4 linked regions of the Pelodiscus sinensis genome follow. The main gene of each other region encodes a partner of the protein of the gene in region 3 in a complex. Links are inferred from orthologs where the notes say so. Each region holds a gene or a part of one and is shown on either strand. Other genes may lie near its edges.

Evidence for each region.
Region 1: the proteins of NMT1 (region 3) and HPCA are in contact, whole or in part, in a crystal structure (PDB 7OWM), measured with the Homo sapiens proteins. The link is inferred for Pelodiscus sinensis from reciprocal best matches to the Homo sapiens genes NMT1 and HPCA. Residues at the interface, in NP_066565.1 of Homo sapiens: Tyr180, Val181, Glu182, Asp183, Asp184, Asp185, Met187, Phe188, Arg189, Phe190, Tyr192, Ile245, Asn246, Phe247, Thr282, Ala283, Gly284, Tyr296, His298, Ser300, Lys310, Phe311, Ser312, His313, Tyr401, Leu403, Ser405, Tyr420, Gly468, Ile469; in NP_002134.2 of Homo sapiens: Gly2, Lys3, Gln4, Asn5, Ser6, Lys7, Leu8, Arg9.
Region 2: the proteins of NMT1 (region 3) and NCS1 are in contact, whole or in part, in a crystal structure (PDB 5O9S), measured with the Homo sapiens proteins. The link is inferred for Pelodiscus sinensis from reciprocal best matches to the Homo sapiens genes NMT1 and NCS1. Residues at the interface, in NP_066565.1 of Homo sapiens: Tyr180, Val181, Glu182, Asp183, Asp184, Asp185, Met187, Phe188, Arg189, Phe190, Tyr192, Asn246, Thr282, Ala283, Gly284, Arg295, Tyr296, His298, Ser300, Lys310, Phe311, Ser312, Tyr401, Leu403, Ser405, Tyr420, Gly468, Ile469, Gly470, Asp471; in NP_055101.2 of Homo sapiens: Gly2, Lys3, Ser4, Asn5, Ser6, Lys7, Leu8, Lys9.
Region 4: the proteins of NMT1 (region 3) and AIFM3 are in contact, whole or in part, in a crystal structure (PDB 6SJZ), measured with the Homo sapiens proteins. The link is inferred for Pelodiscus sinensis from reciprocal best matches to the Homo sapiens genes NMT1 and AIFM3. Residues at the interface, in NP_066565.1 of Homo sapiens: Tyr180, Val181, Glu182, Asp183, Asp184, Asp185, Phe188, Arg189, Phe190, Asn246, Thr282, Ala283, Gly284, Tyr296, His298, Phe311, Tyr401, Ser405, Ile469, Gly470, Asp471, Asn473, Leu474, Leu495, Gln496; in NP_001373743.1 of Homo sapiens: Gly2, Cys4, Phe5, Ser6, Lys7, Pro8.

Annotation. Positions count from the first base shown.
Region 1 is NC_134735.1:3,160,217-3,168,113, reverse strand, and holds the start of HPCA (neuron-specific calcium-binding protein hippocalcin), read left to right. Parts: upstream 1-4,885; 5' UTR 4,886-5,038; intron 5,039-7,175; 5' UTR 7,176-7,212; intron 7,213-7,897. UniProt on the Homo sapiens protein: Calcium-binding protein that may play a role in the regulation of voltage-dependent calcium channels. May also play a role in cyclic-nucleotide-mediated signaling through the regulation of adenylate and guanylate cyclases.
Region 2 is NC_134732.1:13,197,594-13,205,227, reverse strand, and holds the start of NCS1 (neuronal calcium sensor 1), read right to left. Parts: upstream 3,012-7,634; 5' UTR 2,996-3,011; intron 1-2,995. UniProt on the Homo sapiens protein: Neuronal calcium sensor, regulator of G protein-coupled receptor phosphorylation in a calcium dependent manner. Directly regulates GRK1 (RHOK), but not GRK2 to GRK5. Can substitute for calmodulin. Stimulates PI4KB kinase activity.
Region 3 is NC_134739.1:489,072-496,431, reverse strand, and holds the start of NMT1 (glycylpeptide N-tetradecanoyltransferase 1), read right to left. Parts: upstream 3,010-7,360; 5' UTR 2,978-3,009; coding exon 2,850-2,977; intron 1-2,849.
Region 4 is NC_134725.1:14,366,099-14,373,601, reverse strand, and holds the start of AIFM3 (apoptosis-inducing factor 3), read right to left. Parts: upstream 3,016-7,503; 5' UTR 2,540-3,015; intron 1-2,539. UniProt on the Homo sapiens protein: Induces apoptosis through a caspase dependent pathway. Reduces mitochondrial membrane potential.

The sequences.
Region 1 (7,897 bases), on a different chromosome or scaffold from region 3:
AATGATCAATAACCATGTGGAGCAATGACCTCTAAACAGCTGGCTGTCCAGCGTGCTGACCATCTGGAGAGCTTGATTGTTCTAGCCACTTACCACCCTCATAGCCCCAAAAACACCCAGTGTAAAAATGTCCCTTTCTAGGTTACCCACAGAATTGGGCAAAACTTTTCAACCACAACTTTTTGGTGAAAAAATGCAGATTTAGTGACACTGAAATGTTTTAAAAATTCAAGTTGATTTGGCTAAATTGGTTCAGTGGGGGAAGGAAGAAGAACACATTGAAACATTTGGTTTTGATGGTTTTTAACTGATACAGTTTGATTTTGTTGGTTTGAAATGACTTTGTGTTTCTACCTTGTCTTTACGTTTCTTTTTTTTAATCAAAATGTTTTAAAATGGCTGAAATCAAAACAAAATATTTTATTTATTGTCAAAAGGAAACATTTCATTCAACCCCAAATGAGTTTTTTTCAACTTGTCAGTTCACAGAAAATGTTAAAAACTCATTTTTGGTTCAAACCCAAAATGTTCATATTTTTGAATAATCAGAATAGCCAATAAACCAAAAACGCCATTCTTTGCCCCACCGCAGTTACAAATCACACCCTCGTGGAGATTGTTGCAATACAAAGAACTGTCACGTGCTCATGGTCTTTTCTTTCTGGATGCTGCTTATTTTCATCTTTCATTTTGCTCAGCTTTGGCAATAGGAACATAAGAACGGCCGTACTGGGTCAGACCAAAGGTCCTTCTAGACCAGTAGCCTGTCTGCCCACAGTGGCCAGCACCGGGTGCCCCAGAGAGGGTGAACCAAAGACAATGATCAAGCGATTTGTCTCCTGCCATCCCTCTCCAGCCTCTGACAGACAGAGGCCAGGGACACCATTTCTATCCCCTGGCTAATAGCCTTTTATGGACCTAACCTCCATGAAATGATCTAGCTTCTCTTTAAACTCTGTTATAGTCCTAGCCTTCACAGCCTCCTCTGGCAAGGAGTTCCACAGGTTGAGTACACACTGTGTGAAGAAGAACTTTCTTTTATTAGTTTTAAACCTGCTACCCATTAACTTCATTTGGTGTCCTCTAGTTCTTCTGTTATGGGAACTAATAAATAACTTTTCTTTATTCGCCCTCTCCACACCACATCTCTAAGTTCGTCTTAGTGCATCTCTAAGGTGCCACAGGACCACACATTATTTTTAAAGTTACAGACTAACCTGGCTCAACCCCTCTGACATATGCCCATAAACACAATGGGCCTCATACATGTACACACACACACCTCTAAGCACATGCTAAGATACACACACACAGATGCAGACACATGCCCCTTCCCAGGACACGTACCCATTCACCCTCTAAGATCTGCCCTCAGACAGGTGTGCCAATGCTCACCATCCTTAAAGGAGCTATTGGCCTTCTGTGTGTCATTCACCTCCTGGGGCCCTGGGAAATGGGGGAGAGGCAGAAGTGTGGGGGAGGGATGGGACCCAGTGGAACTGCCTGGAATGAATGAAGTTGAGCTAGTTTCATGAAGGGAAGGAGCAGCTCCCAGCGCTGAGCCTGGCTTGCATGGCACCGGGCTGCTCTCCATTTGCCAGAGCGCGAAGCCATCTCACTGCTTGCGCACACGGCTCCTCCTGAGCCTCTCTCCTGCCCCCTCCGTAATCGCTCCCTCTGAGCGGACGTGCCAGGACACGCTGCCTGCGGGCCGGGGAGCTTTCATATCAACAGAAACACACCTGATGGCGAGATAGAAGCCAAATCCCAGGGGGATCATCTGGAATTAGCTGCGAAACTAAGAAGCTTCAATTTGAAGCTTGGAGGTGTGTGTGTGTGGGGGGGCTCAATTTGAAGCCTGGGGTGGTTGTGGGTTCAAGCCCGCGACCTGCCCCAGGAGCAGCAACGGTGGGCAGCTTCCTCTGGAGCTGCTGCCAGGATCGGAGCAGTGGGGCAGCCCACAAGTCCCCAGCCAGGGTCGGCCCTAGCGGCGTCCAGATCACAGCAATTTGGGACCTGCTGGCCAGAAAGGAGACAAATGAAATTAGCGGCAGTGTAATTGTGGCTGCAGTGTAATTGCGGCTCCCTCTTGCAGGTGGCCCTGGCTGGTGGCTCTCTGGCTGAGGCTGCGGTTTTCCTCCCGTTTTCACTGGCAGACCCTTTACCCATTTCAAAGGGCGGCACGGCCCCTTCGGAAAACTTAGACAGGGGTCTGTGGACCACAGTCTGAAAACCACGGCGCTAAGGGGCAGAGCGGTGTGTCCTAAGACATGGGTAACTCAGTCCTAACCCTCCCTCCCACCGAACCCCTGACTCCCCGCCTGTTTCTCTTTGCCTCTGTCCCCCGTTAGGCTCATGAATAAGCTAGTGAAGGTCCCAGTCAGCCCCAGTTCCACCTTTCCCAATAGCAGCTCCTCTGTGTTTCCAGGCCAGCCCAGTGCAGTCTCTGGGGAGGGAGCAGGGTTTGTGCCTGGGAAGGGAGGTGCCCAAAGCAATGCAGAAGGGTTAAAAGGTCTCAGCGGGGGACCCCTGTTAGTCTGGACCTTTAAAAACAACGAGTCGTCCTGTGGCACCTTAGAGACTAACAAAAATCGATCTAGGATCACGAGCGTTCAGGTGAGTTGAGCAACAACAGGGGACCCTCGGAATAAGAAGGGAGAGGGAGAAAAAAAATTACCTGTCAATTCTAGTCCCGGGGCTAATTGGGTGGGCTGGAAGCGTCCCATACTTAGCTTTGATGTCAGCTGGGTGTTGCATGTAAGGTTGTATAATCCTTAATGGCTTTGTTCAGGCCCAGGGAAACAGTGTCAAATTTGCATATAAAGGTCAATTCTTTTCTTTCTTTTTCTTTTCTCTCTCTCTCCCTCTTGTTGGCTTGTGAAATTCCTTTGAAGAAGAATGGCTACTTTTATACCCATTAACGAGGGCCCAGGCAGGTTCAAATATTCCCCTACAGCAGGGTGCAAAATAATTTTTGATGGGGGGTGGGGCACTCCAAGATATTGGTAAGTGGTCAATGTCCGCACTTTTCTATGGAGGGAGTGTGGGGTCTGGGATGGAGATTGGGTGCAGAAGGGAGCTCAGGGTAAGGGACTGGGGTGCAGGAGAGGGTGAGGGGTCTGCAAGGGAGTGTGGTGAAGGAGGGGTTCACAGCATGCAAAGCTTCCCCCTACCCCCAGCGCAGGGAGGTAGATGGAGCAGCCAGCTGCTCTGAACCCTGGGGCTGCTCCCTGCCTGTGGGTCCAGTGGGGTGGGCCACTGGCCGGATAGAAAGGCTTGGCGGGCCGGATCCGGCCCCTGGGCCATGTCTTAGCCACCCCTGCCCTACGAGTTTCTGTGTGTTCCCATTTCTGGTATCTGTTTTGTGTCCATTAACCCTTTCAGACTGTCCAGTTTGTATTGCAGCCGCTTGTGCTGCTGGCAGCCAGGAGAGGACTCGGAGCCCCGGGTGCCACAGGAGCCGAAGGAGAATCCATCAGCGTTTTCGGGGCTCTGACACAGAGGGGCAGGTTCTGGATCCCTCCAGTAGAGTGCAGCGGCGGCATGTGCGCTGGCAGGCCGGAGTTCCGCAATCTTACGCCTGCACTGCATGCGTGTAACATACATCGTACCCGCAGAGCATTGTCACCCCAGGCCAATGTCGCAGGGCCCCTGTGCTGCCCCACTCCACAGCAGCAGCATCCGCCCCTTGCAGCAGGCTCTGCACCATCCTCTCACCTCTCACCTTGTAAAAAGTTAGGTTCCCAAGAGGATGGCAAAGAGGACCTGGCTGACAGACCCCAAATGGCTCACCGGGGGCTGGCAGGCTGAGTCCACCGCCAGCCTGAGACCGCTCGTCCTTAAAAAATGAGGTTTACGCGGGTTTTTTCCGAAAAAGAGGTTTTTTTCCGGAAAAAAACCATGTCCAGACTACTTTCACTTTCGAAAGATCCTCTTTCGAAAGATATGCAAATTATGTGGAATTTGCATATCCTCTTTCGAAACACCCCCCCCCATAGTTTAGATGTATTGGGGGCTGCGAGAGGTGAACGACTGCGCTCCCCATACAAGGAGGTAAAACGGGGCGCAGGGCGATATCGGTCGCACTGGGATCTCACTGGGGATCCCTGCAGCAGACACCCCCAGCTAGTGGCCTAATCCCACAACGCCACGCAGCCCCTCCCTCCCCATAACTCCCCCAGGCAGCTTCGGTGGGGCACCAGGCCTGGGTGGGAGCTGGGGGGCAGCAGGCTGCCATCCACAACACAGGGGGCTGGAATCGGCTTTCTGGGCTGCCCCACTGGCTGCCAATGTAGGTGCTGCACGCCAGCCCCTCCCCCCCCGCCTTTCCTGCCCCCCAGGCGTTGCCACCTTGCTCCCCCCCCCCCCCCCCCAGGCATTGTCCCAATCAGCCGCCTCCTCGGGCCTCTCATCTGGCTGCAGCTGGGGCGTCTCCCCGGGGAGTCTCCCCTAGCGGGCGGGGGGGGGGGGTGTTTTTTGGTCCATTCCTGGCTGCTGCCTGTGTTTTTAAAGCCCGCTCTGAATCGAGCCGCCTGGTCGGCGAGGCGTCCCGGAGCGTCCCCCTCGCCCCCTCCCCGGCAGGCGTCCTGCGGGAGGCGGCTGTCAATCACCGCTCCAGATCCCATTCAAGTGTCGGGCTCCGAGCCGGACTGCACCAAGCCGGCCCAGGGACGCGGGGGTGGGGGGCAGTGGGCGCCGGCAGCCAGCCCCGCCAATCGGGGGCGCAGCGCGGGCGGGGCGCGGGCGGGGCGCGGGCAGGGCCCCCCGGCGCCGTCAGGGCAGCTGCCGCGGGGATTTGCTCCGGGTGGGACCGTCCCCCCCGCCCTTTCCCGCGGCGCCTCCCCCGGGCCAGTTTTGCAGGAGTCCCCCCCCCCCCCCCCATTCACCGTCCAGCCGCCCCCGCCCCGAAGTTGCTGGGCTCGTGCATTGGCGCCTGCATGGAGCAGTAGCCGCGGCAGGGATGCGGCGCTCGGGCGGGCACTAGGCGGACACGCAGGGGGGTGGGGGGAAGCAGCCGCCGCTTCTGCTCGCCGGGCAGGTAGGCAGCCGCGGGGGGCAGGAGCCGGGCGTGGGGGAAGCTGCCCCTGCGGGTGGGTCTCTGCCCCCTTTCCCGGGGGGATCGCCAGCTCCTGCCGCGCTGGGGGCCGGGGGGGTTAAGGGGGGGCTTTGCAAGAAATCAAACCCTTTTGCCCCAAAGGCAGCGGCCCATGGCTCTGCGGCGGGGGGGGGGGCATGGCTCGTCCCCTGTCCCGTGGCATAGGGGGTGGATCCCCCCGCCCATCTCCCGCTCCATGCAGCCCCCCCCCCCCGGCTTCGAGAGCTGCGGGGCTCGTTGCTCCCCCCCCCCTGCGGCTGCGGAGCCGGGGAGCCGCATGCAGGTGCCCCCTCCCGGGGCAGGAGCGCGCGGTCCCGCTGGAAGGGCGTGCGATGGGGGGCAGGGCTGGGGGCGAGCCGCCTGCTTTGCTGCAGTGGGACTCGGCTGCTCCCAGGGGGGACCCACCCCTCTGGCCGGACGGCTGCTGTCCGTCCCCCTCCCCCCGCAGATCTACAGTGCCCCCCCCAGCTCTGTGCCGCAGCCACCGGCGCTGAAGCGCATCCTGCCCGCCGGCCGGCGGCGGGGTTCCCCGGCTCCCCTCCGGGGGCTCGCCGAGCTCAGGCCCGCCTCCCCTGGCGGCGCTGCGCTCTGCTCCCGGGAGCTGCAGGGAAGCCGAGAGCTGCCGCAGCACTGGGGCCGCCTGCGGCTGGCGGAGTCCGAGCGCTCCGAGCCGGGGGGGGACCGTGCGCTCCGAGCCGGGGGGGACCGTGCGCTCCGAGCCTGGGGGGACCGTGCGCTCCGGCGTTGTCCCTGGCTCCTGGGACCCCCAGCCCCTTCCTGACACAGGGCGCCCCTGGGCTGGGCGCTCCTGGCTCCAGCCCCCCTGCTCCCTGTGACCCCAGGCTCCGCTGCTTAATGCGGAGGAAATGGGCAGCATGTGGTGGAGAGGGGGTGGGGACAGGGAGGTGCTGGATAACATACCTTGGAGAGCGGCCCAGCGCTGCTTCCGGGGCGCCGCATCCATCTGGGCTGCTCATTCAGCCTCTTCCCCAGGGAGAATGGCAGGGAGGCCCCTGAATCTCGGGGGAGCCCCTCCTCTGAGCCTCTGCCCCACTGCTGCTTCCACTGCCCCCCGGTCCACGGCCCAGGTGCCAGGTGCCCAGGCAGGGGGCTGCTCCAGCCCTGCACGGCCCACCACGGCCAGGGGCTGCTCCGGCCATGGCCATCCAGAGTAGCCCCTGTCCGTGTGGCACGGGGGGGGGGGGGCTGCCCATCTGCCCTCCCTCCTTTAATTGGTTAACCAGTTAGACATCACAATTAACCAATTAAACAGGGTTTTACATCCCTAGGCAGGACAGGGGACGCGGGCAGAAGAGGTGGCTCTGAGGGCCAAGGCCTGCAGAGCCAGCAGGGGCCTGAAGCCGCAATAGTGGCCGGATTAGAACCCGGGGAAGGGCTCTATGGACGGAGACCCCTGGGAACGTGGTGGGATCTGCTCCCGGGCTGGGGGGTGCTGAATGGAGGGGTCTCCTCTGCTCGGAAAAGGGACGCCCAGGGAGGAGGCTTTGCCGGGATTTCCCCTCCCTTTGTGCTCCCCTTCCAGACGCCTCCCCCTGCTGAGACCTGCTCGACACGCGGGCGGGGTGCTGGCCACGGCTGGGAGGCTGGTCACCTTTTCCTGAGCACTGTTGGGGGGGGTCTCCTCTGGGGGGAAAGGGGCTCTCAGAGTGAAGACCCTCCCCTCTAGAATCTGACACCCGGTTGGATTCTCACCCACCTTGGGGTGCAGCCCAGGGCCCGGCTGCTCACCGAGCCTTTGCCAGACGGGCTGAGAGTGACGCTTGCTCTGAGCTGGCGCTAGCCCACTGAGGCACTAAGCAGGCTATTGGGGGCTCCTTCCGGCACTCAGACTGGCCAATGTGTAGCATAAAAAGCAAAGCGGGGATCCCCTGGACTTGCTCGGGGCCCGAAGGAATTTCGTAGCCGGCTTATGCCCAGCGTGGCTCTGAGCGCCTGTCAGCGGAACTGAGGCCCGCGCCCGTGACTTCCAGCTGCCATGGGGCAGGGTAGCTGCGATTCAGGAATCGAGTGTCGGGGTGCGAATGGATCGCTGACTGTCCCTCTCCGTTCTTCTTTCCAGCGCCTGGGTCTTCCGTGCCATCTCTGTGCTCCTGTGGGTGAGTAGAGGATGGAATCCAGGCCTTGTGGGCGAGGCTGTGGTGCATCTGGGTAGCTCAAGCGGGGGTAGGGCTGTGTGTGTGTGTGTGTGTGTGTGTGTGTGTGCATTTAGAGATGTTTTAAGTGTGTGTTGGGGGGGGCTACAAACGAACGACTTCCAGCGTAATCTCAGTCCAGGCGTGATTTCTGCAAGCCCTGGGTGTCTCGCAGGATGCTGCGCGTTCCAGTTGCAGCGTTAGATCATTGCTCCTCGCTGTTAGTGCAGCGGGCAGGTGTTGAGAGACCCAACCTGGAAAGGCAGGGAAATCCCTTATTAATTGACTCTGCCTTCAAGGCCTCATTCGCAGGCCAGCTCTGCCTCGGGCCATGGCTCAGACTTGGCCAGGCAGCACAATGCAGGCCGGGGCGCGTTCTGGACGTGCGTTTGTTCTTGGAAGGGGCTGACAGGGCTGGCCGTCTCTCCGCTGAGCAGCGACAGTGATGTCTAATGGGAAGCGCGTGAGCTGCTCTCTGCTCTGAGCAAAAGGGTGGGGGAGGAGGGGCTAAGTGTGAGCACTGCTGAGCCCTGGGGAGGATCGGTTTGGTGGGGGGAGTTTAAACGGGCTAGGATTTGGGAAGGAGTCTCAGGGAATTAGGTGCCCTGCTGCTTTTGTAACTGAGTGGAAGCCTGATACCGAAGTGCCT
Region 2 (7,634 bases), on a different chromosome or scaffold from region 3:
ACCTTCATTCATAGGATGCAATATTTAGTGGCCAAGACCCCTTTACTAGGTTTGAAATATAACAAAGTGTGTTCCTTCCCTGCCCTCCCCCTGGTGTTAGTCCTTGGAAAACGAATGTTAGCTCACTGATTTTACTGAGTTCCCTGTCATTTTAAATATAGCTTGAAGTCTCAATGACATTTTAGTGCTTTTAAACAACTACAGCAAGGCTTTGCTTTAAGAGAAAAAGACTCCCCCTAAGTCGTTTGGCACCACCAGCAGTTAATATATTCCAAAACGCCCTGCATGGTTGCTTAGATTAGACTTTAAGAAACCATGTATTTTGAAGTCACTAAACAAATAGAGTCTGTAGATACAGAAGTGAAAGCTCATTTGACTGGCTCCGTGGGGTCTCAATTACCACAGGGCAACCCAGAGCCTATTTTTCTTCCTTTGTACACTCTTGATTAATTTTCTTCAGATATTTTAAAGTCAAAAACCAAAAATGCGATAATGCAATTACTTTCAGACGTCTCACGTATAATCCAGGAGCCTTGCAAGACAAGCATGAAACTTAAAAAACTACTAGCCTCTTCCCTTCCCCCATGCCTTTAGGAGTATCAGTGCTCCAGGCTGGCAAGAATTAAACCTCAGAAGTAGGCTCTGAGACAGTATATTGCAAAGTGGAAAAGCACCTCTGATTTTTTATTTAGATACAGTTAAAAATGAATGTGTGAGAGAGATTCATAGAGTGGATAAATTTTCCCTTGGCCGTAAGATACCTGGCAGAGCCAGTTCCACTGGAACAGCGAACCTGATAAGAATTGGAATGATCCGTGTGAAATAAATGTAACATGCAGTCTGTGGAAGGGGGAGCCGGGGGACAAGAGACAGTGAGAATAACGACATCATCTTTTTATAACCTCTTATTCCAGAGAGAAATATTTCTAGCAGAGTTACCTGGGAATTATGTCTCATTGGGGTTATGACACTATTCGATACACAAGAAGCAGGGACAATTTGTGACTTGATCCAAATTCAAATGACTCAATCTGTAACTAACTTCTAAAATAGGCTCTCTTACATTTCAGTGGGAACATATAAGGGTTTTCACAGAGTATCAAAATCAAGAGCATAGTCTATTACCCAATGGGTTATGAAAAATATTTGAAAGCAGGCAAGTGCATGTGTGCAGCTTCCATTGATTTTAACAAGAACTGCATGCATGTATCCCAGGGCACAATTAGCCTGAAGCTTAATTTTTAATATGTTTACACTATGTTGTTCTAAGCCCAACTGTTCAGTCAGTCTGTCTCTGGGGGAAAGTTAGTGAATATTACAAATAGTTGGATCCAATTTAAAGACAGCCAGGGGAATATAGCCACTAGGGAAAGAAAGCAAGTTATTTTCAGCTAGAAAAATTAAAGAATTTTAACAGCTTGCTAAGGCTCCAGAGTGTGGTATCACCATGAACTTGAAAGTAAATGGATGTTCTCAACTTGCCTTTACTCTAAGGTACTTACACACTCTTTCCCAATCAAGTGTGGCACCTATATTATTTGACTGCCACACAATTGGTGACATTTATACTCCCAACAATCTTAAGAAGGGACATTTATAATCCCCATTTTATAGGTGAGGAACTGAAACACAGAGCAACTAGTGACTTATCTGAGGTCACTCAGAATGTGAACCCTAATGCTAGGGACATTACAAGTCAGCAGGAGAGAGACAGTAAGGAATAGTTCTGTGTGACACTAGGAGATGGACACAGTGACCCAAGGAGTCTTTTTTCCATCTCTGACTTCTAGGCTATTCAGACATCTGATTAAGCACATTAGCAGGATATTTCCATTCAAATAAATCAGCAGTCTACACTACGAGCGCCGCAGCCATGCTGGAGGAACCTGTAGCTGTAGGCTCCCTACACAGATGGAAGGGTTTTTTCCTGTCACTGATGGTAATTCACCTCCCCAAGTGGGATAACTAGCTCAACAAGCATTCTTCTGTGGACATAGCTGGGTCTATAGTGGCAGTGAGGTCGGCGTAGCGACAGTGCTATGCGACATTGCTAGGTCTACATTTTAAGTTGTAAACCAGACTTAATACAAATATTTAATTGTCCTCAAGCTTCAACACCAACATTCTGTAGGTGAGCCACACCTCTTATAGCCTTTGCTTCAAGTGTTTATACATTTCAAGGGCAAAAACCTGATTTTTTTTTTTTTTTAATTTCAGGAAACTGATTTCTTCAGGACAAGGGCTGTGCTTACTGTCTCTAATCTACAGCAGGTAGCATAATAGATCCCTTGCTTCATTTAGAGCCTCTAGGTCAGGGGTGGGCAATAATTTTTGACTGGGGCCACTTCAGAAGGGGCAGGGCCTCAGGCAGAAGGGGTGGGGCCAGGACATATCTGTGCTTCCCCACTCTCAGATCCTGACTGGTCTGGGGGAGGGGGAGTGCACAAAGTTGTTGCCCCCTCCCCCCAACAGAACTGCCAGCTGTTCTGAACAGCTGGCAGTTCCCTCTAGGTACCTGTGCCCCTGGTGGTGGGAGACTTTGTGTGCTTCCCCCTGCTCCCGCCCTACAAGGGAGTGCCACACTTAGAGTCACCCACCAGCTGAGCAGCAGCTGGCAGGTTGACTTTAAGTGCTGAGCCCCTGGCAGGGTGGGAGGAGACTTTGCACACCCCCAAGCCAATCAGGGTTCGGGGGCTGAGGGAGCGTGCAAACTCTCCTCTCGCCCTATGGCACTTCTAAGCACCCTGCACTCCTTGCAGGACAGGGGCAGGGTGGGACGAGACTCCATGCGCTCACTCCGCCCCCGGGCCTTGATTGGCCTGTGGCGGGGGAACAGCAAGGCCTCAATGGGCCAGATGCAGCCCGTGGAGGCCATTTTGCTCACCCCTGCTCTAGGTGCTCCTAAAGGGCAAGAATGTCTTTTTGTCTCATTTTTATTCAATTCAAGCCCTGCTCACAAACATTTATGTATATACAATATTAGATTCTTACTCACCAGGCTATACAAATGTCTGAACAGCTTCAGCTTTGATGGGAGAATAGCTAGTGTGGAAAGAAACACAAGGCCATTAGGAAATGTTAATACAAGCCACCTAAAGCACAGGCCTCTTAGGGCTTGCTTATTCAGGGATATATATAATTATGCACAGTAACAAGCTAAACCAGAAAGAGCCATTTATTCTGAAATAAGTGTATCTACATAGGAAACTGTATCACTATAACTACCATGGTAGATTTCCCCAGATAGACCAGCCCTCAGAAGAGAGCTGAGCATTTCAGAAAATGCAAATCCAGGACAGGTTAACACTATCAATTATAAACCACATTTTCTGCCACAATCTATGCAGGATCTGATTAGGTTTTTAAATGGAGCTGGCCACTACTAAACAAAAGACAGTATGCTGTGGTTTTAAGAGTCAAGTCTGCATCTCAGGGAAGCAATTCAGTGACATTAAATGGCAAGCAATATGCCTGCACTCCTGAGTATCCTTAGCAAGCAGCAGAGAAAAGGAAAAATCCTCATGGGGCGGGGGGAAATGAGATAGTACTATAGTGGGGAAATACACATTTACAGCCAGAGGAGATTGCCTGCAATAGGCCAGAAGACAGCAGGAACTTTATCACCTCCAGTATCCTATAGGGTGAATTATGGAAGGAAGTTCTTGGTGTAGACTGCTCTGTCCACAGGCCAACAGCTATGGAATGAAGTTGTCTGACCAGCTGACCCTGCAGGGTCTGTTATAGCTTCTGAACATCTTATCCATGCAGCTTTCAAAATCAAGTTAGGCTTGCCGTGAATGTCAACAATCTGACTAAGAACTGACCCTCTTTACGGTCACTTCTCAGACAGAGGCATCTGTCCAAGGCCAGGGGAGACAGGGAAGCAACCTGACTCTTCTTTGTATGAAATATTTGAAATTTTGAAATACTGAGAGCTGCAGATGGCAGCCTCCCTCCCTCTCGGTTCACAGACATTTTACAGAGTAGAATCATTCTCCAGTTCCTGCGGTAGTTGGCTGTGGGAAAAAGGGGCAGAGAGTGGGGAAAGGAGGAGGCTGACAATTAGTATGAGGCACTCCAAATTTCAGGAATTTTTACTGGATCAAATAATTTCCCCAGGGGATATAACATTCTTTAAAACATAATACAAGTGATTGATCCATTCACTGGATAAGTTCCTATCACACTCTCGGGTCCCTAAGGGGAAACGCCACTTTCCAGTCCTAAGGGGAACATGAAGCTACAGGATGAACCTCTCTTGCCCGGCATCATCCATGCACCAGCATGATTTTAGTTAGCTGGATATCCACTTAGCATGGGTGTGGCCAAGTTTCTCGCAGTCCCATTAAGTTTGTTTATAGCCACCAGTCTTGGCTCTCAGTGTTCTGTGCTGTTATTTAGCTTTAATTTACCCCTAAATGTCTTCTAAGAGCTGAGTGAGCAGTGGAAGTGTTGGTAATGCTGCTAGACAATATTGACCACCCGTGGTTTGGCAAATTCTCCAGTTTACTTAGGACTTACTGCATTGCAAACAATTTAACCATCCAACTCCAGTCAGCTTGGTAAGAAGAAACTCCATTTTATGGCCAAAGAAAACTGAAGCAGAGAATTGTGCCCAATGTCACAAAAGATGTCTGGGGTCAGATCTAGAATTAGAATTCAGAAGCGGCTTGAATCCAGAAGCTAGGACCTTTTGAAGTAAATTTCAGATCCACATCCCAAATCCTCCTTCCTCCCTTCCACCCCCAAAATGCTCTCTGTACTGTTGTCATATGAGACAAACAGCTGTCATATGAGACAGACAACATATCTATGTCAGATCTGGATTATTTGTGTTTCAGCCCCCCCATACCTGTTACAGCTGCACTTTTCCCACTCCTTAAGGATAGACTGTGCTGTCTCCACTGAATTCCTACAAACCCCAGAGGCAAGATGGCCTGCTCATGCTGGCACACCTTAAGATTTCTCATGTGCCATGAATATATGGCAAACCTAGTTCCTTACCCCCCCTTTTCTTCCAACTCCAACCAGCACCACCAAACTAATGGCTCACATGTATCAGTGACTGATCATTCACCACTAGCTCCATTCAGACAGGATAGGGTATAGAAAAGAAGATTTTTACTAACTTAGGGTATGTCTACACTACCCCGCTAGTTCGAACTAGCGGGGTAATGTATGCATACCGCACTTGCTAATGAAGCCCGGGATTTGAATTTCCCGGGCTTCATTAGCATAAGCGGGGAGCCGCCATTTTTAAATCCCCGCTGCTTCGAACCCCGTGCAGCGCGGCTACACGGGGCTCGAACTAGGTAGTTCGGACTAGGGTGCCTATTCCGAACTACCGGTACACCTCATTTCACGAGGAGTAACGGTAGTTCGGAATAGGAACCTAGTCCGAACTACCTAGTTCGATCCCCGTGTAGCTGCGCTGCACGGGGTTCGAAGCAGCGGGGATTTAAAAATGGCGGCTCCCCGCTTATGCTAATGAAGCCCGGGAAATTCAAATCCCGGGCTTCATTAGCAAGTGCGGTATGCATACATTACCCCGCTAGTTCGAACTAGCGGGGTAGTGTAGACATACCCTTCGGGATCTGTTCTGGTACTGTGCATAGCCAGGCACCATGAACCCTGTGATGCTAAATGGATCAAGAGCACATCAGAATATCTATAGTATCAGCTGTGCCAGTTCAGGATGCATGGAATTTAAAATGGCAGAGTCTTAGAATGGTTAATGGTCTGGATTTCTCTGAAAAGTGCTTCAGGGTTCACTCTGTCAGGCAAAAAGGGGGAAAAAGTTACAGCAGTGAAGCTTTTTCCTGTACTAATCAGTCATGCTCCAGCCATAATTTAAGCAAGATTTTTGCAGTAATAAAAAGTCACAGAGCACTCACGACAGTTCCCTGTATTTTAGTCACACACTATACAAGCTACGGCCCTGAAGCTAAATAGGTTGTTGATTTTAAAAGGGTTTCTACTGAATGCAGCACATATTGATGTGAATGAGAATGGAGATCAGCAACAGATGGAGCAGCTGTCAATTTGGTTTGAGATTCAGGCTCTTACAGGTGTTACAGGAATGAGGAACATGGCCTCCGTGTGCTTTAATGACCTCAAGAATGGCAAAGAATCCCAGGCGCTATAACCTACCTTGACAGGGTACACAGATATAATTTACTTTCAAGGCAAATGAATAATGTAGGTTGCCAGTTAGGAGTTCATGCAGGCTTCAAAGAATGGGGCATATCTGCTGAGCTTACAGAAAATGTCTATAGTGTCTGCCAAGAAAGCTACATCCAGTCAGCTCAGGCAGCATCTTAAAGGTTTACATGAGAAGACATGGTTTTTGCAATGGCTAAACTCAACTGGATTTTCAGTTGTACTGGAAGTGGCATCCTTAAATCTACCGGAAGTGACATTTGTGACATCTCCTGTAAGCCAGCTTTAATATCAGAAATCCCAACCAAGTTATTTACACATCTCTAAGTCTAGCACTGAGTGGGTTTTAACATTTTTGGCAGGTAAGTTCTGCTGATGCATTGCTGTTCACGTGTATTCATTCCCATTTGCCAACTAGGTCATAAAACAATGACCCCTATCATTGTCAGTAAGATGGCCACCCACTGTGTGAAAATAGAGGCTGTTGCAACCTACTGCAACCCAAATTAATCTCCTCAGACCAACCAACCTTGCTACTAGGGATATGAATGGTTAGCCAAAGCAGGTGGGGGCCAGGCCCACGGTTTGGTACCATGGATGGGGAGCATTCCAGTCCAGTTGGAGCAGTCCTCACTCACAGCAGGCCTTGCCTCGCTGGAGCAGCCTCTGCCTGCTTCCATTTAAGTGCTTCACTGATTAGACATAACATTGAACCGGTTAACTGATTAAACGGGATTTTACATCCCTACCACCTACTCTGGTTTATGTATAATATCATGGAGTTGCCTGGGGTTGGATAAGAGCGTTGTTTAAGAGGAAACATCCCATGCACACGCTGAGCCCAGCTAAGACAAAGCCAATTCGATTTAAAGTGACAGACCAGTATCAAAATGTAGTAACCAAGAACGCTATCGTCCTAAGCACTCCTCTCCCAACAGACTTCTAGTCAACACAACACTCAAGATTATCTAACTTGTTAGATAAAAAGTTTCCAGGGAGCGGGAGTGGATGCTTTGTAAAATGGCAAGCAAGCTACGAGTGGTAGAAGAGCTAGAGCTTTCTGCGTCTTTCCCATTAACAAAGATCCAACATGTTTCATTTTTAACAAATGTACTTGACAAGTCAACAACTGAGCTATAGAAAACCAGAGCCAAGGAGCTCAAGAAAATGTCACCGTAGTGGAAAACCACCGAGTCCTACTCTTTGAGTCTACTCGCTACCTCCCCATGACTAAAGCAATTAAGAAGTCAGCTTGCAAGACCCACTTTTGAATCCTTGTTACACGTTGGACCTCCCTGATCTGGCACCCTCTGGATCTGATCGGCCCCAAAGGAAGGAGTTTCCTGGACCTTGGGAGGTTGGCCCCTCTTGCTGACAGACTCCAGGCTCTCCCAGGATCTGTCAGCAAATCACCAGACTCCCTTGCCCCTGGGCCAGCAAGCTCCCAGCTCCTCAGCAAGTCCTAGGCTGCTAGG
Region 3 (7,360 bases):
TCCCTGCTACGACTGCCCCCCCCAACCCTCTGCAGCCCCCACAGGGGCCACCATCCAAATGCAGCCATTTGGGGGAGAGCAGCACGCAAGTGGCCCCAGCGCGACGGGGCGAGGGTGGTTCCAGGGCCCCTGCAGACGAGCTCACTCGAGCATTGGACTTGTTGGCCATGTACAGACCGAGGGGGGGGGGGCTTTTTCGGGTCAGGGGCTGCTGGCCCACAGAAAAATCAGTCTGGGGCCGCACACAAGTGAGAAGCAAAGAGACGGAGGAGAACGCCGCTCCCCACACTGCCCACAGCGGAGCTGGGGGGCCAGGCTAGCAGACTGGGTGTGCTCAGCCCCACAGCAGAGCAGCAGGGAGGGAGGGATGCCATCACTGGCTCCCCAGTGCTGAGCCCTAGGGCTGGATCCAGGCAAGCCATGGGCCACATCCAGCCCCACGGCCTGAGCTCCCCCACCCCCGCACTAAACCGGGAAACGACGCTCTGGCCAAGAAAGCCTCCTCGGCACAGAGTCTGCGCCAGGAACCGGTCCGCCAGCAAAGCAGACCCACCTCACTTCCTCCGCTTCCCACCCGTAACACCACTGCACAGCAAAGTGACCCAGTGTCTGGCCCGGTCGCAAGAGCACAGCGGCCCTGGGGCAGCGCCCGGGCGCCGAGGAGGGGAACTGCCCACTGCTGTTTGCCACTTGGCAGATCGCTGCGCGACAGGCGGCATTTCAGATGCTTCCCCCACTTGGGATCCATGGATCGGGTCACGCTGGTTTCCGCACTCGTATTAAACGAACAGAACACACCCACTGCCACCACTCGGATGAGCTTCTGGGAGTCTTGCTCTTCTCCTCTTTGGTCTTTTCTCTCTCAGAGGCCTTTGACTGGGTGGGGGGGTCCTGCCTTGTCCACATTAGGATGGGAAAATATCAGGTGCGAAACTTTCCCCCCCAGGAAGACAAAGGGCTGAGAGTTTATACTCAGCTGGCCTGGGCAACGCCAGCAAAAAGCACAAAGCAAAGTCAGCAGGCGAGACCCAGCCCTGCTCCTTGATGATCTGGTTTTACAAACCCAAGCTGCCAGAGGAGAAGGCAATCAAAGCTCCCAGGCCAGCTACTACACTAAGAAGCAGTGCCCCGCCCACGGGCAAAGGAAACGCTACAGCAAGCCCCTGTGGGCACAAGCAAGCTTCTTTACTAGTTCCTCCGTGAGCTTTTAACAGCTTGTTCTTTCACAAGAGATTGCCTAATAAAAGCTGCTGACAAAGAGGCTGCTCTCTAGCTGATGGCCTCTAAATCTGCACCTAGGGGGCCGAGGATACGAAAAGCGGAGCAAGTCGTTCCACTGACGCTCAGATTCGCACAGCACAAGTCTGGAAGACTGTGGTTATACACGTGGCTGAGTTCACACTGACCAGCACACAAAGTGGGGCTAATGGAGGGGAAAGTCTCTCCTTTAAGCCACCCGCATAACTAAGTTTTCTGGAGCCTACAATAGGCAGCAAGAAGAACATGGAGAACAGCTGCCCTAACCTGGGTGCCATAAGCAGCCTCATACCCAGGAGGCAGCAAGTGCATTTCGCAGACTGTTCCAACCAGCCTGCCTCACGCCATACGCAGACCCACCGTATGAACCAGCAAAACAATGAGTCCATCCCCGAGCCAGATCCCTCAAGATGTGCGATTTAGATACTAAGAAGCAAAGACAGGGGGGTTGGATAAAATCTCCAGCATAAATATTCCATAAAATAGGTCATTAGAAACCCCCAACAGATTAGACTAGAATAGCAAAACAAGGCCCTCCCATCTGGAACCAGAAGCATGCTGTCTACACCTGGGTTTGGACACAGCTGGTGTAGCAGAAGCCAGGCCTTGTTCCTCTGATCTACTCAACTACAAAAGCCCAATGAGTTAGCCAGGTTCATACTTGAAGGGGGGAAAAATCCTGGTTCACATTAACCAGGAAAACCTTCTGGCTGTGGGTGCCCTATGGTCTAGCAGCAGTGACAGTCAAGCTGCCCTGGACACAGACATTTTGACAACCCCCCCCCCATCCCTTTTCATTGCTCACTGTTTACAAAACTTCCATTTTCCACTGTAGCCATTTCCTAGTAATACTCTGGAACACCTTCCGCACGCAGAACACAAAGCCTCTGGCAAGCTGGGTTGCATGCAAGACTCGCTGCACCTGATATTAAGGGGGGGCCCTTTCGCTCGTATTTCCATCACATGCATTACACGGTGAAGCGATGTGCTAGGGGTGCACTGGAGTCTCTCGCCCCCAGGGAGAGCCCCACAGCGGCTCCCAGGCCCCAGCAACACGCACAGCTTGGAAGCTAAACTGCAGGGGAGCCGATGAAGTCACCCCAGCGGAAACCCGGCCAGAGCACAACTGGCTGGGGTGCAAAGCTCTCCAGGGTCCGCAACAATCACGCCTGCCCAGGGCGGCTCCCTGCACTGAGGGTGCCCATGCCCACCCCAGGCTCCCTTTCCTGGGCCTTTCGGCTGGTGCCTCCCCCAAGCCAAAGTGGGCAGGACCCAAGCACCAGCAGCCCTCGTGCTATGGCGCCGGCGTGGCCAGCAGCTCCCGCGCCCCCGGCTGGGGCGCCCCACCCCACGCCACAGGTCTCCCATCCACGCCCTGCTACGGCCCGGCCCTGCTTAGCTTGCGAGACATGCTGCTGCAGCCCACGGGCCCCTCCCCCTTGGACTGGCAAAGAGGCCGGCCAGTCACAGCTCGCCGCGCCGCCCGGCAGCCAATCAGGCCGCGCGAGGGCGGGGCGAGGCGCACTTCCCGGCCGCGGCCCCGCTCAATGGGCCGGTCCGGCGGGGCCCGGGGGGCTCGGGGCCGCGCTCACCCCCGGTTGTAGCTGCGCCCGTCCTCGTTCTCGCAGTCGCTGCAGTGCTCGTGGTCATTCTCCTCCGTGGGCGATCGCTGGGGCCTCGGCGGCGGCCGCTGCACCGCAGGCTCGCTCTCGTCCGCCATCTTGAAAGGGGCCTCGGCGCGGCCGCGCCCCCACAGCTAGACGCGGCACGATTGGGCGGCTCAGCGCGGAGCATGCTGGGACTTGTAGTCTTCGGCGAGAGGAACGCGGAAGAGCGCGTGACAGCGCAAGGGACTACAATTCCCATGAACCTTAGGGCGTGGCAGAGAGGCGCACGAGGCCAGGGGCTTTCTGGGATGTGTAGTATTAGTGAATAGTGATAGAGATGCAGCCGTGTTAGTCTGGTGTCGCTGGAACAAAAGACAGGACTATGCGGCACTTTAAAGACTAACAAGATGGTTTATTAGGTGATGAGCTCGTCCTGTATTATTGAATAGAGGGACTAGGAACAGTGACCGTTCATTGGCCCCATGTCCAGAAACTATCAATTCTTTACCCCAAATGAGACTTAGAGCTATGAAGGCTGTGACACCAGTAACTGGACGTCAGAGCCTGGGAAGGGCACAGAAGTACTACATCGTACAGTCGGCCAGGTGGATGAGGGGAGTGGTCAAGGAGGAGACCCACTCTGCCGCCGCATGCTGCATTGCACTGCGCCTTCTTAAGCTCTCCAGACACGCTCCTGTCTTTCACATGTTCTATGAAGAACCTCAGGATGCAGTGAATGGGGAACTCTCTTCTGGGGGTGGGGAGGAGATGGTTCAACTTCCTCAAAAGCATTACGAATTGACTACCGGACACTAGATTAGTTGGACAGATTATTTAAACTGGCATAGTGCAGATTTTATCAGACTAATACTGCTTCCTGCTGGACAGAAGGAACTGGACTGCTATCGGAACTTCCTCACTCTCAGCCCATTTGAGCTCAATATGGCGATGCAATCTCCTACTTCAGGTTTCTAGTTGTTGACAGGACCTAAATGATTTGTGGCATCACTTCTGACATGCCCTTAATATGGAAAACCTTGTATCATGCGTGGCACAAAAATGCTAGAACCAATGTAGATATCTATGTAAGCTGCATGCTTATTTGTCCCACAACAGATGTACACATAGTCTTGGGCCTATAAGGTTCCAATATTGTATATTTCTTCTTTTGTGGCAGCTCTGGCAAAATGCAGTTTTATAGATGGGGATAGTGATAGAAATGTAGCCGTGTTAGTCTGGTGTAGCTGAAACAAAAAACAGGACTATGTGGCACTTTAAAGACTAACAAGATGGTTTATTAGGTGATGAGCTTTCGTGGGCCAGACCTACTTCCTCAGATGCCTCAGACCCACTATTTGATCTGAGGAAGTGGGTCTGGCCCACAAAGGCTCATCACCTAATAAACCATATTGTTAGTCCTTAAAGTGCCACAAAGTCCTGTTTTTTGTTTCATAGATGGGGATGTCATTGTCACATCTTCCCAAACACCATAGCGGGATGGGCAAAGGGCCAGCAGTTATTGGGCAGAGCCATCTGTCCATAGGATGGTTCCTCCAACCAGCCCAGGCCTGTCTGTGGGGACTAGCAGGGGATCAGGCCCACCCCCACACTCATTACGGCAGTGAGCAGAGCAAAATTGGAGGATTGGTCCAAAAAAAATTTGATGAGGTTCAACAAGGACAATGGCAGAGCCCCGCCGTTGGGACGGAAGAATCCCAAGTACTGCTACTGGCTGGGGACTGACGTGCTAAGCAGCAGTTGAGCAGAAAAGCACCTAGGGATTACCGTGAATGAGAAGCTGGAGATGAGTCAAGACTGTGCCCTTGTAGCCAAGAAGGCTTACAGCATATTGGAGTGCATTAGTAGGAGCATTTCCAGCAGATTATTCCCCTTTATTTGGCACTGGTGAGGCCACACCTGGAGTATTGCGTCCAATTCTGGGGCCCTCTGTTAGAGAAGGGATGTGGACGCATTGGAGAGAGCCCAGCAGAGGGCAGGAAAAATGATTAGGGGGCTGGAGCAAAAGATTTATGAAGACAGGCTGCGGGATTTGGGCTTATTTAGTCTACAGAAGAGAAGAGATAAGTGGGATTTCATAGCAGCCTTTAATTACCTGAAGGGGAGGTTCCAAAGAGGATGGAGAGAACAAGGAGCAGGTGGCAGAACAAGGAGCAATGGTCTCAGGTTGCAGTGGGGGAGATTTAGATTGGAGATTAGGAAAAACGATTTCCCTAGGAGGATAGTGAAGAACTGGGCTGGGTTCCCTAGGGAGGGGGTGGAGTCTCCATCCCTAGAGGTATTGCCATCCCTTGACAACCGCCTGGCTGGGATGATTGAGTTCGGATTGGTCCTGCTTCTCACAGGGGTGGCTTGATGACCTCCTGAGGTCTGATCCAACTCTATGATTCTATGAATCTGGCCCCAGCCAGCTCTACTCTCCCAGCCATGTAGCTCAGGGGAGGAGTTTAGGGGAAGGGTTGGAACCGCCCCTTGCACTCCCCAGTTGCAGAAATGGATAGACATGTCTGGGGGCTGGCGGAGCAGAGCTGGCTTGGGCCGAGTTGCTCAGCTTACCACTGCAGGTGAGTGTGGGCAATGGGAAGGGGCTGACCCCTGCTGTCATCACCTGTCACCCGCCAGTTCCTTGGGCTTTGTTGCTCAAGGGAGGGGGCTTGGAGGAAGAGGTAGAGTGGGGGTGAAGTGGGGGCAGAGGCTTTGGAGAATTGGAAGAGCAGGGCTGGGAAAAGGTGGGCCCTCCCCTAACCTACAGGTGATGTGAGGAGGAGTCACATGGGGAGGGGTGGTCACGTGGCCAGTGCAGCTGTTGTCCCTCTCCAGCAGTTGCCACTGTGTAGATGGCCATAGCACACTTGTGCACTGAGCAGAGAGACAGCAATCATCACTTCTGCCCTGTGTTCTTTATGCTGGCTAGGTAGAAATACGGCCCTACCAAATTCGCAGCCATGAAAAATGTGTCCCTGACTGCAAAAGCTCATTTTCCCCTGTGAAATCTGATCTTCTTGGGCACTTTTACCCTGTATGTACAGATCTCACAGGAATGACCAGCATTTCTCAAAGTGGGGATCCTGACACAAACTGCAAGGGGATCGCAAGGTTATTGGGGGGTTGCAGTATTGCCACCCTGACTTCGGCACTGCCTTCAGGGCTGAATGTCCAGCTCTGCATGCAGAAGATAGTGTGCCAGTACCACACTAGGCCTTCCTTACTTCAGTGCTGCTGGCAGTGACTCAGCCGTCGAAGCTGGGCTTCTGACCAGCAGCTGCCACTCTCCAGCCGCCCAGCTCTGAAGGCAGCACTGCCGCAAGCAGCAATGCAGAAATGCTGCGTAGCAGTACCACAACGCCCTTGCAAGAACCCTGCAATCCCCTCCCACTCGTTTTTGGGTCAGGACTTAAATAGCTGAAATCACAAAATGTATCACTTCAAACAGCTGGTGGCCCATGTAACTGACCAAAGCGGACTGTGAGTGTGGCAGGGCCCAAGTGTAAAAGCAAGAGCTGAGTTTAAACACGTGTCTCTCCCCCCCCCGCACTAGACGCGTCCCTGGGCTCTGGGCCAGGCTGATCTCGCAGCGCGCGCTGAGCTACAGGCTGCAGGCCCCGCCCCCCCCGGCCTGGGCTAGCCCGCCTGACCTCCCCCCTCACGCCCCGGGGGCGGGGCGAGCCCAGGAAGAGCGGCAGCGATTGGCTGAGCGGGCGGGGCCGGGTTGCTCCCCGCCAACGAGAGGCCGGGACAGGGCGGCGAGGCTGAGGCGGCCCCGCGGACGGGTGAGGGGATCGGGGGGGCCTGAGGCCGCTTCCACCGGCCCCCGCGCCCCACAGCTCGGCGGCCCGTTGGGGGGGGCGGGGAGGCGCCGAGAGCTGGGGGGGGAGGCGCCGAGAGCTGGGGGGGGGGCTGGGAAGGGCCGGGGGGGGAGGCGCCGAGAGCTGGGGGGGGGCTGGGAAGGGCCGGGGGGGAGGCGCTGAGAGCTGGGGGGGGGGCTGGGAAGGGCCGGGGGGGGGAAGGCGCCGAGAGCTGGGGGGGGGCTGGGAAGGGCCGGGGGGGGAGGCGCCGAGAGCTGGGGGGGGGCTGGGAAGGGCCGGGGGGGGGAAGGCGCCGAGAGCTGGGGGGGGGCTGGGAAGGGCCGGGGGGGAGGCGCCGAGAGCTGGGGGGGGGGGCTGGGAAGGGCCGGGGGGGGGAGGCGCCGAGAGCTGGGGGGGGGCTGGGAAGGGCCGGGGGGGGAGGCGCCGAGAGCTGGGGGGGGGCTGGGAAGGGCCGGGGGGGAAGGCGCCGAGAGCTGGGGGGGGGCTGGGAAGGGCCGGGGGGGGAGGCGCCGAGAGCTGGGGGGGGGCTGGGAAGGGCCGGGGGGGAAGGCGCCGAGAGCTGGGGGGGGGCTGGGAAGGGCCGGGGGGGAGGCGCTGAGAGCTGGGGGGGGGGCTGGGAAGGGCCGGGGGGGGGAAGGCGCCGAGAGCTGGGGGGGGGCTGGGAAGGGCCGG
Region 4 (7,503 bases), on a different chromosome or scaffold from region 3:
AACTGCTCTTGGCCTTCTCCTCCCTTTCTTTGATTGCCATTGTTGTTAATTCTCTCCATGCTTCACTAACTTGCATGCTTGACTTTTTTTGACCCACTTACTGCCCACAATGTACATCCTGCCAACCCACAGCCCTGGCTCATTCCCTCCACTCCTGCTCTCCCATTACAGAGCATTGCTGGCAGAAATCCTATGACCTTCAGTTCTGCCATCTTCCTAGCTAAATAATTCTGTCAACTTAACTGAATCCTATTCCTGCCTTAATTTGACTTATGCCTCACCCTCTCCCATCCTTCTGCTCCAATTCTGTCTCTACGTAGACTCTCACCAATTTATTCTGACATAAAGTTGACAAAATATCATGTAACTTTACCTCTCCCCTCAGCTCAACTTCCTTTTTTCCCGTCACAGATACAGATGTTTCTGATCTGCTCTTCTCCTCCACTTTCCCCAGTGACCCCATCCCACCTCCTGATCTCCTGTGCTCCCTCTTCCAGCCTTGCACTTGTTCTTCTCCTTCTCACTCTCCTCCAGCTCCTTCCCTTCATTACACAAACTGTATACTTTCCCACCTTAAGAACTCACCCTTGACACCATTTGCCTCTCCAACTACCAGTCCATCTGCCTTTTAGATGTAAACTTATTGAACATGCTGTCTACAATTGTCATCTGAGATTTCTTCCCATTCCAGCCTAGACTTTCTCCAATTCAGCTTCTTGCTCCTTGCTCTCCACTGAATCCACTGCTACCGAAGCCTGCATAATCTTTTCCTGCTGACAGCTCAGAATCAGTACCCCATAGAATCATAGAACTGGAAAGGAACCTTGAAAAGTCATTAAGTCCAATCCCCTTCACTCATGAAAGGACCACACTCCAGTTGAAGCTCATCCCAGTCTAACCTGCTCTTAAAAATCTCCAGTGATGGAAATTCCACGATCTCCCTAGGCAATTTATTCCAGTGCTTAAACTCTGAGGGTTAGGAAATTTCTTGTAATGTCCAACCTAAACACCTCTTGCTGCAATTTAAGCCCATTGCTTTTTGTCTTACCCTTAGAGGTTAAGGAGAATATTTTTCTCCCTCTTCCTTGAAACAACCTTTTAGGTACTAAAATCTCTTTCTTCTCTTCTCAAGCCTAAATAAATTAATTCTTTTAATCCTCCCTCACAGATCATTTTTTCTAAACTTTTAATCATTTTTGTCGCTTTTCTCTGGACCTTCTTCAATATGTCCACATCTTTCCTGAAATGTAGCGCCCAGAACTGGACACGGTACTTCAGTTGAGGCCTAATCAGCAAAGACTAGAGCGGAAGAATGACTTCTTCTGTCTTGCTTACAACACTCCTGTTAATACATCCCAGAACGATGTTTGCTTTTTTTGCAACAATGTCACACTACTGACTCATATTTAGCTTGTAGTCCACAATGACCCGTGGATTCCTTTTTCTGCAGTACTCCTTCCTAGACAGGCAGTTTCCATTTTGTATGTGTGCAATGGATAGTTCCTTCCTAAGTTTCACCATCTTAGACTTGTCAGCCACCAACAAGGCCATCAACCATTATAGCCCAGAAAATCTAGAGATATCTGCAGCTCTGTTTTAAGCCAATTTATGGAAATCAGGGTCATTATTTTCACACTTGACAGTTTATCATTGGGCTCCTGAAGCTGTGATTGTCAAGGAGGTCAAATGGCATTATGTGTCCAACTCTCACAATCAATGGGAGCTGGGTATCCATCTCTACTAGGCACCTTTTAAAATTCTAGTCTAAGATCATTGACCATTTCTAACCAACTGGTTAACTAATCTGATTTTCATTGGTTTCAGTCAGTGAAAATACCACCCTTAAATAAAGGGCTTGGTTTTTAAACGGAACCTAAGAGAATTATGTGCCCACAAATCTCAATTTAGATGCCTAAATATGGGTTTAGAAACCTTATTTTAGGCAGCCAAGTTTGAAAATCTTAATCCAGCTGTTCCAATTCACTGTCCTGTGCTTTAACTACTAGCCTATGTTATCTTGTGCTTAGCAATTTAAACTTATACTGCAGGGTATCAGGAATAGTTAATAAATATGATTGCTATTTATACTAGAAGACCTGATTCAGCATTTATCATTAACGAAGCTTCGGACTAGCCCACACTGAATGTGACACAGCAAACCTAAACAAAACATTGCATGATGTGCTGCTAATACAAATCAACTGAATTCTATGTAGGTAGTAATAACACACATTGCAGCATATAGGAGCTGCATCCGATCAATGTTAAATTAGAAGGAACACAAAGGAGGCAGCTTGTATTCTTTTCTTAGGTTTTAATTTTCAGTTAGAGCAATACTACATAGGATGATATAATCAATCTATTCAGAAAGCCACAATTATACTATTTTAGCAATGTCAACAGAATAGATATGTAAACATGAACTTGATCATTATTTGAGAGAAACAGCTTCTTTACACTTCAGTTTTCAACCAGACAAATATCTATCCATTTGCTGCTCATAAAGCAAAATAATGCACAATCTAAAATAGCTGCTTACCTGAGCGGAAAGACTGAAGCCTCAAGCCACAATGAAATTAAACCATAGAGTTACAAGAGAGCTTCTTAGAGTCCCTTCAGGCAGCAGAAAGCTACACTGGAAATCCTTTGCTTTGTATTCCAATTTAGAAGAGGCTTGAGGCAAGTCACAGTGTGTGTAGTAATGCAGCTTGTCCTAGGCTTGCAGCAGGGAGTACAGCCAGTTCTCTTGGGCTGCATGCAGTCTTGATATAGTAGCTCAGAACACCAGGGAAGCAGGAATTCTCCTGCATCCCAGCCCCTTTCAGTTAGCAGCTGCTATGGCAGCTTGTACCTTTTTAGTCACTATTGATTGCTTAAGAACTTCATGCACCTTTCAAAGGACTTCACTGCATAAACGCTCTGGGGGCTGACAGGAGGCCTTTGACTGTGATGTCAGAGGAAGAAGGCCAGTGAACTTCTCTTGCTTAACCTCTTCACTGCTGTAGGATAAATGTATCTTCCCCTGCTGCGAGAATTGTATGCTATTGATGTGTGGCCCAATGGTGGGGGTTAGGGGGCAAACATAGGGTTAACATAGAGGTGTCCTGGATGTGGCATACTGTTCATGTGGGCTGCAGGAACTTTGAGTGGATAAGGTAGTAGGCAGGGGCACACCTGAAGGTGAACTGCCGGGTACCGCGTGTGTACTCCATCCTTCCCTCCCTCCAGAAATAGGGTCTCATATCCCTCTCTTTTTTTTTTATCTGCTCCCTCCAGATATTGCATTTTTTATCCCTCCTCACAGATCTACCAGTTGTTTTTAATGCCTCAAATGTGTGTGTTTTCCCCCTACAGCCACTTCAGATACAGTATTCTGTTACTTTCTCTGATTTATGGTGTTTTTCAGTTGTGTTTAATTTATGGGATTATTTTAATCTTATATCACATGGAAAGTTTTGGGGTTTTTTGGAGTAAGGGCAATAGTAATATTTCCTACCATACAGAGTTTTTATATCCCCTGATTGTTTTAAAAATTCCTCTTGGTATATGGACTGATTTTACTCCTTCTGGTTATGGGATTTTTTCATTCCATCTTGATACATGTCTTTTATTACTTCTCAGTGATATATATAGATGTATTCCCCTTTCATAAAGGGATTTGTTGTATTCCTGATGGGATATTTTACTGAGAAGCTAAAATATCGTTTTTACCACATATGCAAGAAGTTAGTGCAGGGATGAGCAAACATTTTGGCCTGAAGGACACATCTCAGCATGGAAATTGTATGGCAAGCCATGAATGCTCATGAAATTGTGTGCAAGGGGCAAGGGAGGAGGTGAGGGCTCTGGCTGGGAGAGCAAGATTTAGGGTTGAGCCAAGGATAACAGGTTTGGGATGGAGGAGGGTTCACCAGGCTGGTACCAAGGTGTTCAGAGGGTAGAAGGGGGATCAGGGCTGGGACAAGGAATTGGGGTATGGGAAGAACACCCCTGTGAAAGGAGAAACCCGGAGAAGCAAGCACTTCAGCTCAGCTCAGCCCATTAAGAGCTAAAACCTGCACAAAAATAACAGGGAAACATACAGAGAAGACCCTAAAAACAGAAGCCCCAAAGAGAACACATTAAGGGGTGTCCAGGCTGCAACAGGATGTCAGGGTAGGAAAGTAAGGGACACTGAAGCTAGGAGAGGGTCACACCAACTTGCAGCACACAAAAAGGTGGGGGTAGGAATCTGTTGTCTGGTAAAACAGCAGACATGGTTACAACTTCCCTTTTCCTGGATGGGAAAACTAAATACATCATGGAGATAGATATGAGCTTACTGAATGTGTTTGTAAAAGCTTAGCTAGGTAGGAATCTGGGACCACTTCAAAACAAAGCAGAAAGCTTTGCTACTTGACCAACCCACTATGCACAAAAGTTACCCTGAGGCTGGATAAAATGTGAAAGGGTATGTCTACACAGCAAAGTTATCTTGAAACAACAGCCGTTATTTCGAAATAACTTTACCAGCGTCTACACAGCCAAACCGCTATTTCAAAATTAAATCAAAATAGCGGAGGGCTTATTTTGAAATTGGTAAACCTCATTCCAAGAGGAATAGCACCAATTTCGAAATTGCTATTTCAAAATAAGCGCTATGTAGGTGTTTATTTCAAAATAGGGGGCCTCCAGCCTTCCCAGAGTGCCCTGGTGGCCACTCTGGGCACAACCGAGAAAACTTCTCTCTCCCCTCCCCCCTCAGCGGAGCCCTTAAAGGGGTAGATTCTGGCCACAGTGCCTGTGCCAGCTCCAAGCCTGCCATCCCAGAGCCAGCAGTCGCTGTACCAGACCCAGTGGCCCCAGCATGAGCCAGGCAGCCAGTGCCAGCCAGCCCTCCACCGCTCCCCAGGACCAGTCTGCCATCTTCCAGTAGCCTGCCAGGGGCCAAAAAAGGTGGGTGCCTGCCTGGTCCAGAGTGGAGATCAGGGACCTAATTCAGGTTTGGGGGGATGCCTCCAACATCCACGATCTCCTCACTAAATGGAGGAACGCAACCATCTACAGGCGGATGGCTGCCAGCCTCGCCACCAAAGGCCGCATGCGAATCCAGGAGCAGGTTCATATGAAAATAAAAGAGCTGCTGCAGGCGTATGCCAGGGCCACAGGGGACAGCTCCCAACCAGGGGCAGACCCAGGCCCCTGCCCCTATTTTGATGCTGTGGAACACATCCTGGGGGGCAGGATGGTCTGTGCCCCCCAGGTAGTCATTGACCCTGGGGTAGAGCTTCCTGTCTCTGCTGCTTCAGCCCCTGCTGCCTCCCCAGCTACCGCTCCTCCTCCCACTCCTTCTCCCCCTCCCGCTTCTTCCTCCCAATCCTTGCCAAGCCCCCAGGGATGCTGAGGCCTCCACACCCGTGGTTCTGGGAGACAGTTGGCCTGGTGAGACCCCCCCCAAACCTGAGCCCTGAGCTTCTCCTCCTCCTTCCTCCCCTTGCCACCCCCTGCCAGCTCCCTCCTCCCAGGTTTCCCCCTCCACTCTCTCTCCTTCCCTCTCTCACCTTCTTTTCCCAGTCTTACCTCAGTTTCATTCTCCCTCTCACTCCAGTTTTGTTCACTAAAGAAGCTTTGTTGTAATGAACATGTGTCTTTTATTGTACAGCAGGGAGGGAGGTTAGGGAGGGGTAAGTGGAAGGACGTGAGGGAGGAATGAGGCACAAGCCCCCAGTGGGGCACATCAGGGAGACTGTTACTGCCTGCAGAACGTGCTGCCAGGCTCACAGCAACACATCCAGGAGAAGCACCAGAGTGCCCAGAGGCAGCTCCGGCTCCATGCTGCAGAGTGGTGTGGTGTCCTGAGTGAGGGCAACCAGAACATACAGAGAAAAAAATGCTTTGCTGTCCCTTAGTGAGGTAGGCAGGCAAGCAGGGAAACCTTAGAACCGGCTGTCCAGGGGGATCCCTTTAAGCACAGGTCTCAGCTAGCCTCAGGCAGCAGCCACACAAGGTAACTCCTGACCTGATGCCCTGCCAGAACAGGTTCTGGCCGGCCTTAAATGCGATGCAGCATCCAATCAGTGTGAACGCGCTATTTCAAAATAGCAAAACGCTATTTTGAAATGCATTTTGTGTCTAGATGTGTTATTTCAAAATAACACTGTAGTGTAGACACACCCAAAGGCTGTGTCTAGACTTGCCAGTTTTTCCGCAAAAGCAGCTGCTTTTGCAGAAAAACTTGCCAGCTGTCTACACTGGCCACTTGAATTTCCGCAAGAACACTGACTTCCTACTGTCTGAAATCAGTGCTTCTTGTGGAAATACTATGCTGCTCCCGTTCGGGCAAAAGTCCTTTTGTGCAAAAGGGCCAGTGTAGACAGCTCAGATTTGTTTTGCGCAAAAAAAGCCCCGATGGCGAAAATGGCGATTGGGGCTTTTTTGCACAAAAGCGCGTCTAGATTGGCACGGACTCTTTTCACAAAAAGTGCTTTTGCGGAAAAGCGTCCGTGCCAATCTAGACGCTCTTTTCCGCAAATGCTTTTAACGGAAAACTTTTCCGTTAAAAGCATTTGCGGAAAATCATGCCAGTCTAGACGTAGCCAAAGGGAAAAAGCTAGGAAGAGGGTGTCAGTTTAACTTGCTTTAAAGTACTTCTGCAAAGATTGGATCTGAGACTGGTCCCTCACACATGAGTCAGTGGCTTTTCCAGGGGTCACAGAATCATAAAATACTAGAACCAAAAGGGACCTTAAGAAATCATTGAGTCCAGTCCCCTGTCCTCATGGCAGGATCAGGCACTGTCCAGATCATCCCTGATAGATGTCTATCCAAACTGCTCTTAAATATCTCCACTGTTGGAAATTCCACAATCTCCCTAGGCAATTTATTCCAGTGTTTCACCACCCTGACAGTTAGGAAATGTTTCCTAATGTCCAACCTAAATTGCCCTTGCTGCAATTTAAGCCCATTGCTTCTTGTCCTATCCTTAGAGGCCAAGCAGAATTTTTTCCCCCCCTCCTCCCTTTTAGATACTTGAAAACTGCGATAATTTTCCCTCTCAGTCTTCTCTTTTCTAAACTAAACAAACCCAGTTCTTTCAGTCTTCCCTCATAGGCGATGTTTTTTAGACCTTTAATCATTCTTGTTGCTCTTCTCTGGATTGTCTCCAGCTTCAGTTGAACTAGTTCAGCCATGCTCCAGGCATTCTTCCATAGAAAGAACTGTGCAGCACATGCACACACCAGGTGCCTTGGGACAAAACAAAACCCTACAGATACTGCAACTACCCTGTAGGATAGGGGTTAACCACATGCAGGAGATGCACCGACCCTGCCATCCTGTGGTGAGAGAGAGACATAATAGCCTGTCTGTGGGAGCAATGGTGCTGTGTGCTATCATTTTTTAAGGAGTAAAAGTTATTTCGAAGGAAGGGTTTCTTTTCAAAATAACCCCATTTTTTTCTCGAAATATGCTATTTTGGAAAAGCATCCAGCCACATTATGCAAATGAAGCAAAGGAAATTCAAAT